Linked DNA regions of Callithrix jacchus. The protein of the gene in region 3 purifies or fractionates together with the protein of the main gene of each other region. This does not show direct contact. Links are inferred from orthologs where the notes say so. Each region holds a gene or a part of one and is shown on either strand. Other genes may lie near its edges. The genes, in order: RAD9A, RAD1 and HUS1B.

What was found.
Region 1: the proteins of HUS1B (region 3) and RAD9A purify together in Homo sapiens (co-immunoprecipitation; 3 studies listed by BioGRID and IntAct, counting the BioPlex papers as one, with this or other methods). This does not show direct contact. The link is inferred for Callithrix jacchus from reciprocal best matches to the Homo sapiens genes HUS1B and RAD9A.
Region 2: the proteins of HUS1B (region 3) and RAD1 purify together in Homo sapiens (co-immunoprecipitation; 3 studies listed by BioGRID and IntAct, counting the BioPlex papers as one, with this or other methods). This does not show direct contact. The link is inferred for Callithrix jacchus from reciprocal best matches to the Homo sapiens genes HUS1B and RAD1.

Annotation. Positions count from the first base shown.
Region 1 is NC_133511.1:124,471,404-124,475,004, reverse strand, and holds part of RAD9A (cell cycle checkpoint control protein RAD9A), read right to left. Parts: intron 3,414-3,601; coding exon 3,285-3,413; intron 2,580-3,284; coding exon 2,465-2,579; intron 2,385-2,464; coding exon 2,285-2,384; intron 677-2,284; coding exon 567-676; intron 479-566; coding exon 369-478; intron 281-368; coding exon of another isoform or gene 216-280; coding exon 1-215. UniProt on the Homo sapiens protein: Component of the 9-1-1 cell-cycle checkpoint response complex that plays a major role in DNA repair. The 9-1-1 complex is recruited to DNA lesion upon damage by the RAD17-replication factor C (RFC) clamp loader complex.
Region 2 is NC_133503.1:170,711,471-170,715,653, forward strand, and holds the start of RAD1 (cell cycle checkpoint protein RAD1), read left to right. Parts: upstream 1-1,302; 5' UTR 1,303-1,463; intron 1,464-1,597; exon of another isoform or gene 1,598-1,808; intron 1,809-1,941; 5' UTR 1,942-2,011; coding exon 2,012-2,209; intron 2,210-3,598; coding exon 3,599-3,707; intron 3,708-4,183. Other genes in the region: BRIX1 (ribosome biogenesis protein BRX1 homolog), read right to left, coding at 977-1,135. UniProt on the Homo sapiens protein: Component of the 9-1-1 cell-cycle checkpoint response complex that plays a major role in DNA repair. The 9-1-1 complex is recruited to DNA lesion upon damage by the RAD17-replication factor C (RFC) clamp loader complex.
Region 3 is NC_133505.1:31,058,786-31,062,900, forward strand, and holds HUS1B (checkpoint protein HUS1B), read left to right. Parts: upstream 1-1,221; 5' UTR 1,222-2,021; coding exon 2,022-2,858; 3' UTR 2,859-3,937; downstream 3,938-4,115.

The DNA.
Region 1 (3,601 bases), on a different chromosome or scaffold from region 3:
AGCTGAGGCACTGGCCGGTGGCGCTCCAGGGAGCCCAGGTCCTGGGAGTACGAGTCTGTCTCTGAGAGTGTGGCCAAGACAAAGTGGCCGTCCAGCAAAGAGTCCTTGACGGTGAAGATGGCAGGCCTGGGCCGGGGAGGGGAGCCCCAAGCTAGGTCATCCCATTCAGCTCCTGGCATCCCAGTGCCCTTCCCTGTCCTGAGGCTGGAAATTACCTGCCCGGAGCATCAAAGTGAATGCAAAGATTCAAGTTTGCTGACTCTGCAAAACTCAGGAGCCCCTGGGAGGGAAGAGGTAGCAGGTGAGGCCCTGGGCTGGGCTGGGCGAGGAAGGGAGGACCCAAGGCGAATTCGTGGGGGGATCCTCACCCGGAATTCCTTGAGGCAGAAGGTGATGGCCGCCCCCTCCTGGGCCTGCAGCTGCTGGAAGTCCTCCTCCCCAAGGCACACCTCAGTCACCATGGCTCTGACAGTGCTATCTGTTGGGGAAGAACAGGAGGAACCTGGGCCCCGCCTCTCTCCCACCCGCAGCTCTGCTCTGTCCCACGCCACGTCCAGCTCCCTCACCTGCGTCCTCCTCATGGTAGCTGCGCAGGATCACCCTGCAGCCACGGCCAATGCCCAGCGTCACTTCAGCCAGCGCAGGAGGAAAGGGCAGGACAGCCTCCCCCAGGACTCTGTGAACAGGGCAGAGCATCACCCTAAATACTTGGCCCTGTCACCTGAGGCAGGGGTGACACAGGCACCCACATGGATGGGCACAGGCCTAGCGCATGGATGAGGCCCAGAGAAGGCGGCAGGGAGAGGGCACAGAGGCAGGACTCGGCACTCACGCTGCCCTACCAAGCTGGCCTTCAGAAAGAGGCCTGAAATGCTTACCCTCTAAGTATACCCACCGCTCTACAGATGGATCACATCTGGAATCTGCTTCAAGTCCAGTGGGGACAGGAGCTGCTCTGCTTTTACATATACTTGAAACTATTCATGAGACAGAGTACTCACTTCCGCAGCACATACGCTAAAACTGGGAGGATGCAAAGATTCCCAAGGCCCCTTCACGAGGATTGAAAAAAAAGAAAAACAGAGTGGCCAGGCACGGTGGCTCACACCTGTAATCCCAGCATTTGGGGAGACCCCAACCGTAGATCACTTGAGGTCAGGAGTTCGAGACCAGCTTGGCCAACGTGGTAAAACTTCTCTACTAAAAATACAAAAACTGGGCCGGTCATGGTGGTTCATGCCTGTAATCCCAGCACTTCGAGAGGCCAAGGCAGGCGGCTCACCTGAGGTCAGGGGTTCAAGGCCAGTGTGGCCAACGTGGTGAAACCCTATTTCTACTAAAACTAGAAAAATTAGCCAGGTGTGGTGGTGGGCACCTGTAGTCCCAGCTACTCCGGAGGCTGACAGGAGAATCACTTGAACCTGGGAGGCAGAGTTTACAGTGAGCCAAGATCTTGCCACTGTCCTCCAGTCTGGGGAGCAAGAGTGAAACTCAGTCTCCAAAAAAAAAAAAGAAATAGCCGGGCATGGTGGTGCACGCCTGTAATCCCTGTTACTCGGGGGGCTGAGGCAGGAGGCAGAGGTTGCAGTGAGCCAAGATCACACCACTATACTCTAGCCCAGGCGACAGAGCAAGACTCCATCTCCAAACAAGACAACTGTTCATTTAAAAAAAAAAAAAAAATCCCTCTCTCACTACCCAAAAGAGCTCTGAGCAGTGATGGCTCAAGAGAACCTGGGGAAACATGTCAGGACCCAAAGGGACCTTCAGTCACCCTGAAAAATGAACAGGACCTTGGGCCACTTGAATGCAAGCAGTGTCCAGTGTGAGGCAGGGGGAGAGCCCACTCCTCTCCAACCTGGTCCTCTCCGGGGACCTTTGCTTCCACTTGAGTTCCTGTTTCCCTGGCCCCCGAGAGCCCCCAGTGCTTGGACTGCCCAGAACCGCTCTACCCCACAGCCGATTGTTCAGGCGGCCTCCTGCCCTGACCTTGGGGACTCCTCAAAGCTAGATCCTAGGCAGTCAGGGAGAGAGGCTGCCCTTGAATGGGGAATACCTCCAGAAGGATGCCCAGGCCAGAGAAGGGGTCAGGGGCAAACCTTCAGTTGCCCTCAGCCTTTAAAGAGCCAGGTAAGGACCTGAGCGCAGAGGGCCGTGGGACGTCTTTGAGGCTCACAGAAACTCTGTAGGGAAAATGAAGGAGGCACCTTCTGAAATCAACCTTTGGGGCCCCAAAGAAGGAAGAGACAGACCTGGGGCGGAGCTGAGGGCAGGCTGTGCTCACCGTGCTGGGGCGCGGAGCACATGAGGGCACAAGGCTGGGTCGAAGACGGCCTGCAGGGACTCGCAATCCTGGAAGGACAAGTTGTGAGTCTTCCGCACCCCTGGATGGGCGACAGGGTCTCAGTGGGCCTCGCCAACCTCCTGGCTGAGGCATCCCTTGGCCGGCCGACTGCCCACTCACCGAACTTGCAGTGCAGCTGGACCACCAGGCGGCTGCTCTGGCCGTTCAGGGAGATGCAGCATTTTTCCACTGTCTTCTCCAGCATCACCAGTGAGCGGAAGACAGACAGGAAGGACTGCATAGGGTAAGACACCTCAGCCTGGCACCGTATCTCTGCGACCAGCTTTCCTGTCCCACGCAGGCCCTTGCCCATCATGGGCCCAGCATGAAACTGGGGAAAGGGCTCCCACACCATGCGAGACCCTGGCACCCTTCTAGGCCTCAGTCATGCTCTTCCCTATGCCTGGAATGCCCTGAAAGACCTGTTTGCCTTTTTTTTTTTTTTTTTTTTTTTTTTGAGACGGAGTCTCCCTCTGTTGCTAGGCTGGACTGCAATGGAGTGATCTCGGCTCACTGCAACCTCCGTCTCCTGGGTTCAAGCAATTCTCCTGGTTCAGCCTCCCGAGAAGCTGGGATTATAGGTGCGCGCTACGCCCAGCTAAATTTTTGTATTTTTGTAGAAACAGGGTTTCACCACGTTGGCCAGGATAGTCTCGATCTCCTGAACCACCTGCCTCGGCCTCCCAAAGTGCTGGGATTACAGGCGTGACCCACCGCGCCAGGCCGACCTGCTTACCTTTCTTAACGAACTTGAGCGTCACCACCCTCTCAGGTCCCCACTGTGATGCTTTTACCATGCCTCTCCCTCTGATTTGCATGGATTGGGCTTGCACGTGTCTCTCTCTCCCCACTTAGCATCTACTGAGTACCCCAGCGGAGAAGCACAGCTGGTGGAGATTCCCGGGGTGGGGCAGTGCCACTGCTGAGGGAAGGGCCTCACCTTCATCAGGATCTTACAGCGCAGCAGGTCCTGACCGGGGGTGGTGGCCTGGTACTGCTGGAAGAAGAGTGGGGCAAAGAGGAAGCAGGCATAGGCAGAGCGGGAGGAGTTCACCGTCCGGAGGGAGAGCTGCGCCACGAAGAGCAGGGAGAGGGACGTGGTCAGGGGGCAGCCACAGACCCAGCCCTCTGGCTGCCTCTGCCCACACTTGCCCTGTCGTCCTCCCGCTCCGCCACCACCTGTTGAAACCCCCCTTCCCCATGAAGCTTTCAGAGTCGGCCTCGGCGCTGCGGCAGCATGGAGGGGTCGCACACCCG
Region 2 (4,183 bases), on a different chromosome or scaffold from region 3:
AGTAGAGACGGGGTTTCACCATGTTGACCAGGATGGTCTCGATCACTTGACCTCGTGATCCACCCGCCTCGGCCTCCCAAAGTGCTGGGATTACAGGCGTGAGCCACCGCGCCCGGCCCCCACACTTATCATTCCTCAGAGCTCACTCACCATCACACCACATGGAGTCATTTACTTATCACCTACTCCGTACTAGAGTGTACTATGCTAAGTGCAGAGGACAGAGAAATTAATGTCAAAGATAATCCTTGTCTCCACAGTATACTGTGTAGCTTAAGAATAGTTCTTAGTTGAATGAAAGTTAACTGAAACAACTTGCGTGCACTTCTTTCGAATAAAAACCACCAACTTCTCTGACTTAAGTTTCCTCCTGAACTCCAACATTTCAGGAGGAAGAGGTCACATTCTAGTCACCTTTGCAATCTTTGCCAAAGGAAGCTTAACTTGGAACAATGCGTGGCACATTCAATGTCTGTTCAATACAGGTAAAGCTCAAAGTATCTGGACTATCTTTCATTATCCCTTGAGTTAAAGACCTAGTTAACAACTCACAGTCCCAAGGCCAACAACTTTTTAAAGGCTCACCTAACAAGCTTCAGGATCCCTGCCTGACAGCAGCTGACTTCGGCCGTATATAGGAATACTAATCACTGGAAGAAATACTCAAAAGCGAGAAATAACCAAGGAAAAGCACCACCCTCCAAAAATAATTGAACAACTAGGAAGACAACGCTGGATCTGAGCACCCTGTCAGTCGCTTCCCCGTGGGCCGGCTAAAGGTTCTAAAACCCGCTGCCCCCAGGAGGGCGGCCAAGTGCACAAGAATTAGCTATAAACTCCGTGTCCAGTATGGCCGGGAGAACTGCTAAAACCGACCTACGGTCAACACCCGAGCTATTCTAAAATTAGTAGAGCTGTAGTCAGAACCCCCAAGAAAAGGCGCACAGAGCCGCGGCTGTTGGTGTAACCCTTCTACCTTGCAAACGGGGCCTGGGATCCGGTTTCTCTCTTCTTCCTCCACCTCCTCTGCAGTAGCTCGAGGCTTAGCTGGCGGTTCGGCATCTTTCTCGTTTCTTTTCGGTTTCTTCGCCTGAACTGCCAAGCCTCCACGCCGTTTCCTCTTGGTTGCCGCCATCTTGTCTCGCCGCCTGCGCTCTTTGGCCTTCTTTCCGGTGTTGCCGCTCGCACCCTTTTCCGATCTCTATGGTTCGGCGGCTCTAAGCGCTCGGTTCAGCGGTCGTCCTCCAGCTCGGTGGTGCCTGCCTGCTTCCGGTCTTGGAGGCGCTGCACGCTTGGCTCTCTAGGATTCGTTCCGCTCCATGGTGACGGTGGCCGAGGTGGAGGGCCGAGCTGAAAAGTGTCGGGACCCGCTTCCCTTCTTCCGCGGTTTTTCGGAGCCGCCTTGCTACTCCTCAGGGACTTTGCCGGGAAGGGCTCTCGGGCGTCCAGACCCCACTGCAAAGGTAGGGTGTCAGCACTCGAGGACTGAGAGTAGTAAGTGATGCTGTCCAGCGGGCGAGCTGGTGAATGGGCTTGTCTGGGACCCTTGGGGGATCTTCTGGGCACTCCGAGCCCGCCCCCCCCCCCCCCATCGCCTGTTGCGTTGGAGGCGAGGCTTGCGGCGCGGGCGACACAAAACCGACTCCGTAGGGATTCGTAGCTCCTGTTTGGCCGGGATAAGCTGGCCCCAAGCGGAGATACCGTGTCAGTTGCGTGTCTTCATTCTTCACAACTTTTCACGTTATTGTCCCCTTACGGAGATGAGGAAACCGTAGCTTAGAAAATTTTCTCCCAGAGTTACAAAGACAGTTAAGTGGCATCGGTGGGGTTCGGCCTGGTCAGCCAAGTTCAGCTGCCCAATCCCCTTCCATTTCTCAGCGCAGGTGGAGCTCGCCAGACCTCGCCAGCACTGATGGGAGTTTTATTGTCCAATCCCTTCAGGTATTTCGCGATCCGCGGGAGCAGGTGTTGGCCCCAGAAGCATCCCTCGGGGCCGAATGTGCAGCGGACAATGCCCCTTCTGACCCAACAGATCCAAGACGATGATGATCAGTACAGCCTCGTGGCCAGCCTTGACAACGTTAGGAATCTCTCCACTATCTTGAAAGCTATTCATTTCCGAGAACATGCCACATGTTTTGCAACTAAAAATGGAATCAAAGTAACTGTGGAAAATGCAAAGTGTGTGCAGGCAAATGCTTTTATTCAGGTATGGAAATATGTGCCTTTAAGCCTGTGCCATAGATATTCTAAATGCAGTTTAATGAAATCTGAAGGTTTTAGTAGACAATAAATGACTTTATAGTCAATAGTCCTGAATAAATAGTATATGAATAAATAGCTGTATAGTCTTAAGTCAGAGAACAAAACGCCTTTACTTGAGTTTTTTTTTCTCTCCTGGTAACAAATTTTTTTTCCCATCTTGTTTTACAGAGATAATGGTTAGTAATGACTAAAAAGCTAGACTATTAGCTAGGCACTCCTCTTAGTATTTAACTTACTTAATCTTAACAGTAGTCCTGTAAGGTAGGTTCTGTTATTATTTCCATTTTGTATATGTAGAAACGAGGCACAATTTAAGTGATTTGCCAGCAGCCCCACAGCTGTTAAGTGGCTGAATTGGGATAAGAACCCTGAACATTTGTTTCCAGAATATATGCTCTTTACCACTGCGATACTACCACCTTGCTATTACTAAAGAGTATTTTTTCCTTTACTGGTTGTAGTAGAATTTTTATTCTTCCAGAGTAATATTTGTATGGTTAAGATAGGATTGCAAATTCAACTAAGCGTTTTTTAACACCTAAGTGCACAGCATGACGTCAGGGATAGAAAGGTAAATAAGACATGGTTCTTGCCCTCATGCAGGACATGGTATAGTGGTTCACACCTGTATTCCCAGCTGCTCAGAAGGCTGAGGCAGAGATGGGAAGATTGCTCCAGCCTGGTCAACCATAGTGAGACCCCCATATCAATAAAAAATAATAATAAAAGTTGAAACTAGGCCGGACACGGTGGCTCACGCCTGTAATCCCAGCACTTTGGGAGGCCGAGGCGGGTGGATCACAAGGTCAAGAGATCGAGACTATCCTGGTCAACATGGTGAAACCCCGTCTCTACTAAAAATACAAAAAATTAGCTGGGCACGGTGGCGCGTGCCTGTAATCCCAGCTACTCAGGAGGCTGAGGCAGGAGAATTGCCTGAACCCAGGAGGCGGAGGTTGTGGTGAGGCGAGATGGCGCCATTGCACTCCAGCCTGGGTAACGAGCAAAACTCTGTCTCAAAAAAAAAAAAGTTGAAACTAATATTGTTCATGCGTTACCAAGTCGTTTGTGTATTTTCCAAGTGACCTAAGCAGTAGTGATAGGCACAAAAATGAGACAAGGGGTAGTCACAGAGGGATAGTTTTAGATCCAGGAATGGAGATAAGGATGCTTCACAAGGATGTCTCTAGGATGTTTTGATTGCTAATGAGAAATTATTCTCGTGGGATTAGCACAGTATTGTATTTTTTAAACATATAAAGTGAAATCTAGGACCTTATGTATTAGTTTTCATTCTTTTGTGTAACCATTTTCATTTTTACTTTTTTCATAGGCTGGAATATTTCAGGAGTTTAAAGTTCAGGAAGAATCTGTTACGTTTCGAATTAATTTAACTGTCCTTTTAGACTGTTTATCTATTTTTGGATCAAGTCCTATGCCAGGTAAACTATTATCAGTAGAAGGACATAAAAGTGTTATATACAATGGACAGAAAAATTCAGGAATTTATTTGGAATATAAACATTTGTTCAGAAAGTTATTGCCAATTCATTTTTCATTGGCCACAGTCATGGGTTCTAACTTTTCCCAATGTTAATTGCAAGTGTGTTTATAGTTCTTTCCTTTGTAAAAGTATTAACATTTGTCTTTTTTTAATTTACAAGGCTTTGAGGGAATTTAAATCTGAACTGGCCAAAAGAATGCTTTGGGCATGTCTTAAATATCTTTAACATTGTGAAACGTAATTGCTTCTTTTCCCTAACTTGTCCAGAATTACTCAGCTAGTTAGTGGCAGGGAAAAACAGAAGCCGGTTCTACTGACTCCTAGTTTGTACTGTGTTCAAAATTTGTTTCTTTCAAGCCATATTTTATAAGTTATGTCTATTTTGCCAAATGATTTTTTTAAACATATTTTTTC
Region 3 (4,115 bases):
AACAAACAATTTGGGAAACACTGCTCTAGAGGGTTCCTTTTTAGTTACAGATAAGACAAAGATGCTTGCTAATACCACTGTTACTCAGCAGTGTTTTGAAAATTACAGCAAACGCAATGCCAGTTAAATAAATGGCATAAACCTTGAAGAGTAAGAGCCATAATTACAGTACATGAAGATAGTAAGATTTTCTACATAAGAAACATAAAAGATCAATTGAAAAAGAATTTCAGGAGAGAGATTCAGTAACTTGACTGATTTCAAGATATTGTATATTATGTGAACTCCCCAAGAACAGAACTGGATAATTTATTGACAGTCATAAAAAAATGGTTTGAATAAGTGAGAGGATTTAATGTTATAGATATTTTAAATATCCTGAAATAATCTTGCAGTTGATACATTTCATACATTCATTTAACAAATGTGTTGAAAACCAGTTGCATGCCGGATACTGTTCTAAATGTTGGGTGTACAGCGGTGTATGGAACAGGTAAGAACTCCTTTCCTCTAACTTACATTATTATGGTTAGAGCTAGACCGTAAACAGAGAAGTGTAAGTATGTAATATGTGAGGGTGGTGACAATTCCCATCAAAATTCCAGGAAGATTATTTTTAGACTCTGACAAAATATTTTAAAGTTCATCTGGAGCAGTATCTGTGAGAGAATGAGAGAAGTTCTGATAGATTGTCCTATTCAATATTGAAATATAATATAGAAATTAAATCACTGGTACAGGTGCAAGATAGGGCAGTGGGAGAAAATATAGAGAGGGTCAGGAAACATTCAGGAGAAAAATGAGAATTTTTGTCTAAAATAAAATTGACATTTCAGATTAGTGGAAAAGTGAATTTCGTGAATTGTGTGTATCAGCTGGGTATTCAGTACTCCAAAAAAGATTTCAACTGAGTCAAACAACTAAGTTATAAAAACAGATAACATTTAAAGTACCAGAAACAGGACTTTGAAAGCATGACCCTAGAAGTAGCAGAGAAAAAGTCAATAGGTTTGACATAAAAAGATTCAATATTTTCCAAGGGCAAAGAGCACCAAAAACACTGTGAAAAGTCACATGATAAACTGAGGAAGATATTTACAGTACATGTAATGGACAGAGGGTTGATGTTCTTGCTAGAGATCTTAAAATAAAAACAAAATAAACAATAAAAAGATGCAAGGGGCATAAAATGGAATTCACACATAGTGCAAGTTGACATCTTTTTTTTTTTTTTTTTTTTTTGCCTGGTAGAGTGCTACAGATAAAACAGATTGCTAATACTCAATGTTGCTTGTGGTCTGGAGTGTTCATGCAGCTTTCTTCAGGCCAGTTTGAGAATATTCGGATTTTAAATGTGCATTCATTGACCAGCACTTCACCTCCGAATTTAATGCAAGAAAATTATTGGGTAAATAGGCAAAACTATTTTGTCCAAAAATGTTCATTTTGTTCATAATAGCAAAAAATGGGAAATCATCTAAATTGTCATTTGTGTTATAACTCTATACATTGGAAAACCGATCAGCCATGAAAATGATGTAAGTATGTCTCACCAACATGGAAAGATGCCTGTTACATATTTTATGTGTGAAGGTGAGGTTGTAAAATATGTGCCTAGTATGCTATAATTTCATAAGACATGTGGCACTGTATCTTCATATATGCTTATAGATGAAGATGGTATCAGTGTATATTAAAAGTGGTTATCTGAGTGATGATTTTGTCTTCATTAGTGTTTAGAATACTAAGAAGTTTCTGCAGTGGAATGCCTACTCTTTTAATAACCAGAATTGAAACAGGGAATTTTGTGTGAGGGCTCGAGGGAAGGTAAGAAAGGGCGTGGGGACGCCCTTCTGTGGCCCCAGGCCTAGGGCTGTGGAATCCAGAACAGAACCCGGAACCTGAGTGCCTGCCCTGCTGGGGGCCAGAGGGAGGGCAGCGCCGCGGACCAAAGTGGACCGGAAGGGAGCGTGACGTGTGGCATCCTCCTCAGAGGGCCCAGCGTTGCCTTTGCCGATATCATGAAGTTTCGCGCCAAGATCACAGGCAAGGACTCTCTAGACCTGTTCATCCAAGTCAGCAGCACAGTGGCGAGGCTGGTGAAGGTCTGCATGCTCCGCGTGTGCCCCAACGGGTTGTGTTTCGGCTCTGTGGGCTCAGGCGGCCTTCAGGAAGCCAGGCTGTGGTGCGAGGTGCAGCAGCGGGCCTTCCAGCAGTTTCTCATGGAAGGTGTCTCGGAAGGGCTGAATGAGATTCATCTGGAGCTGACGGCGGAGCACCTGTCCAGGGCGGCGAGAAGCGCGGTGGGTGCATCCTCACTGAAGCTGCAGCTCACCAACAAGCGCTGTCCCTGCCTCACGGTGATGGTGGAGCTGGCCTCACCCCTGGGCCGTGTTCGCAGCGTGATGCACGATCTGCCCGTGCGGGTGCTTCCCAGAAGAGTGTGGCGAGACTGCCTGCTGCCCAGCCTGCGCCCCTCGGACGTGAGCATCTACCTGCCGCGCTGGAGGACGCTGAGGAGCATCGTGGAGAGGCTGGTGAACGTGGGCAGTCACGTGCTGCTGGAAGCAAACCTCAGTGGCAGGATGACCCTGAGTATAGAGACGGAGGTGGTGTCAATTAAAAGTTATTTTAAAAATCTTGGAAACCCTCCAAAGTCGGCTGTTGATGTGCCTCAAAACAGAGACCTGGAGAGCATGGTGCAAGTGCGGGTAGATAATCGGAAGCTTCTGCAGTTTTTGGAGGGACAGCAAATAAATCCTATGACGGCTTTATGCAATATTTGGGACAATACTCTTCTTCATCTTGTTTTGGTTCAAGAAGATGTCTCTCTTCAGTATTTCATTCCTGCCTTGTAAAAATACAGCCAACTTAGGTTTTTTTTTTTTAATCTTAAGAACTTTTCAAAACCGAAACAGACCCTGAGTTAATTGGTTTGGAAGTTTGTACCTTCTCTGACTTAATGCTAGGCGTATATTTTGTTGAGCTCTTCCTCCTTTGCAAAATTTATATTAAAGCATTGATAAAACAGTTGGGTAGTTTACCTTTTTGTTTTTTGACTTTGTCAGTTTTTTTCATGCTTAAGATTCTAACAAGAAAATTATTCTTCAACTCTTTGTTGGGGGAGGAGGAAGAGGGTTATATAATGAAATAAATATATTTGAATACTGAAACAGTTGCATCAGTATTTTTATTATAAAATGCTATTGTGTAAAGCGGAACCGTTCTCCTTTTAAAGTATGTATAAACGTGTTCCTAGGGCTTTTCTTATGTAGAGAGCTAAATATAGCTGCAAGATATAAGGTATTTAACATTTGTGTGCATTACATATTGTTTGTTAAGCTGCGTTTTGTCATAGGATATATCAAAGACTATATCAATATACCTGGTTTTTAGATTTATTATCTACATAGTTTGAATTGCTAATTTACTAGGTTCATTTTTCACATGTATCATATTCACATTAGGAATCAAGGATATGTAGGCATATCTCAGAGATATTCCAAGTTTGGTTCCAGACCACTGAGGTAAAGCAAATATTACAATAAAGTCAGATGAGTTTTTTGGATTTTCAGTATATATAAAAGTTATATGTGCACTGTACTGTACTCTGTTGAGTGTACAATAGTACTATATCTAAAAAATGTACACATCTTAATTTTAAAATACTTGTTTGGTAAAAAATGCTACTCATCATCTGAGCCCTCAGCAAGTCATAATCTTTTTGCTGGTGACCTCCCTCTTGATAGCTGCTGACCAATTCCAGTGGTGGTTATTGAAGACTAGGGTAGCTGTGACAATTTCTTAAAATAAGATAGTGAACTTGCTGGATCAATTGACTTTCATGAAAGATTTCTCTGTCGCATGGGGTGCTTTGGGTATTTTATCCACAGCAGAACTTCTTTCAAAATAGTCAGTCCTCTCAAACCCTGCCACTGGTTTATCAACCAAGTTTATATACGGTACTAAATCTTTTGTTGTTATTTCAGCAATATTCACAACATCTTCACCAGGAGTAGATTCTATCTCAAAAAAATCATGTTCTTTGCTCATCTATAAGAAGCAACTCTCTGTTTTTTGAAAAGATTATAGCAATTCCTTAAGTCTCTCCTTTT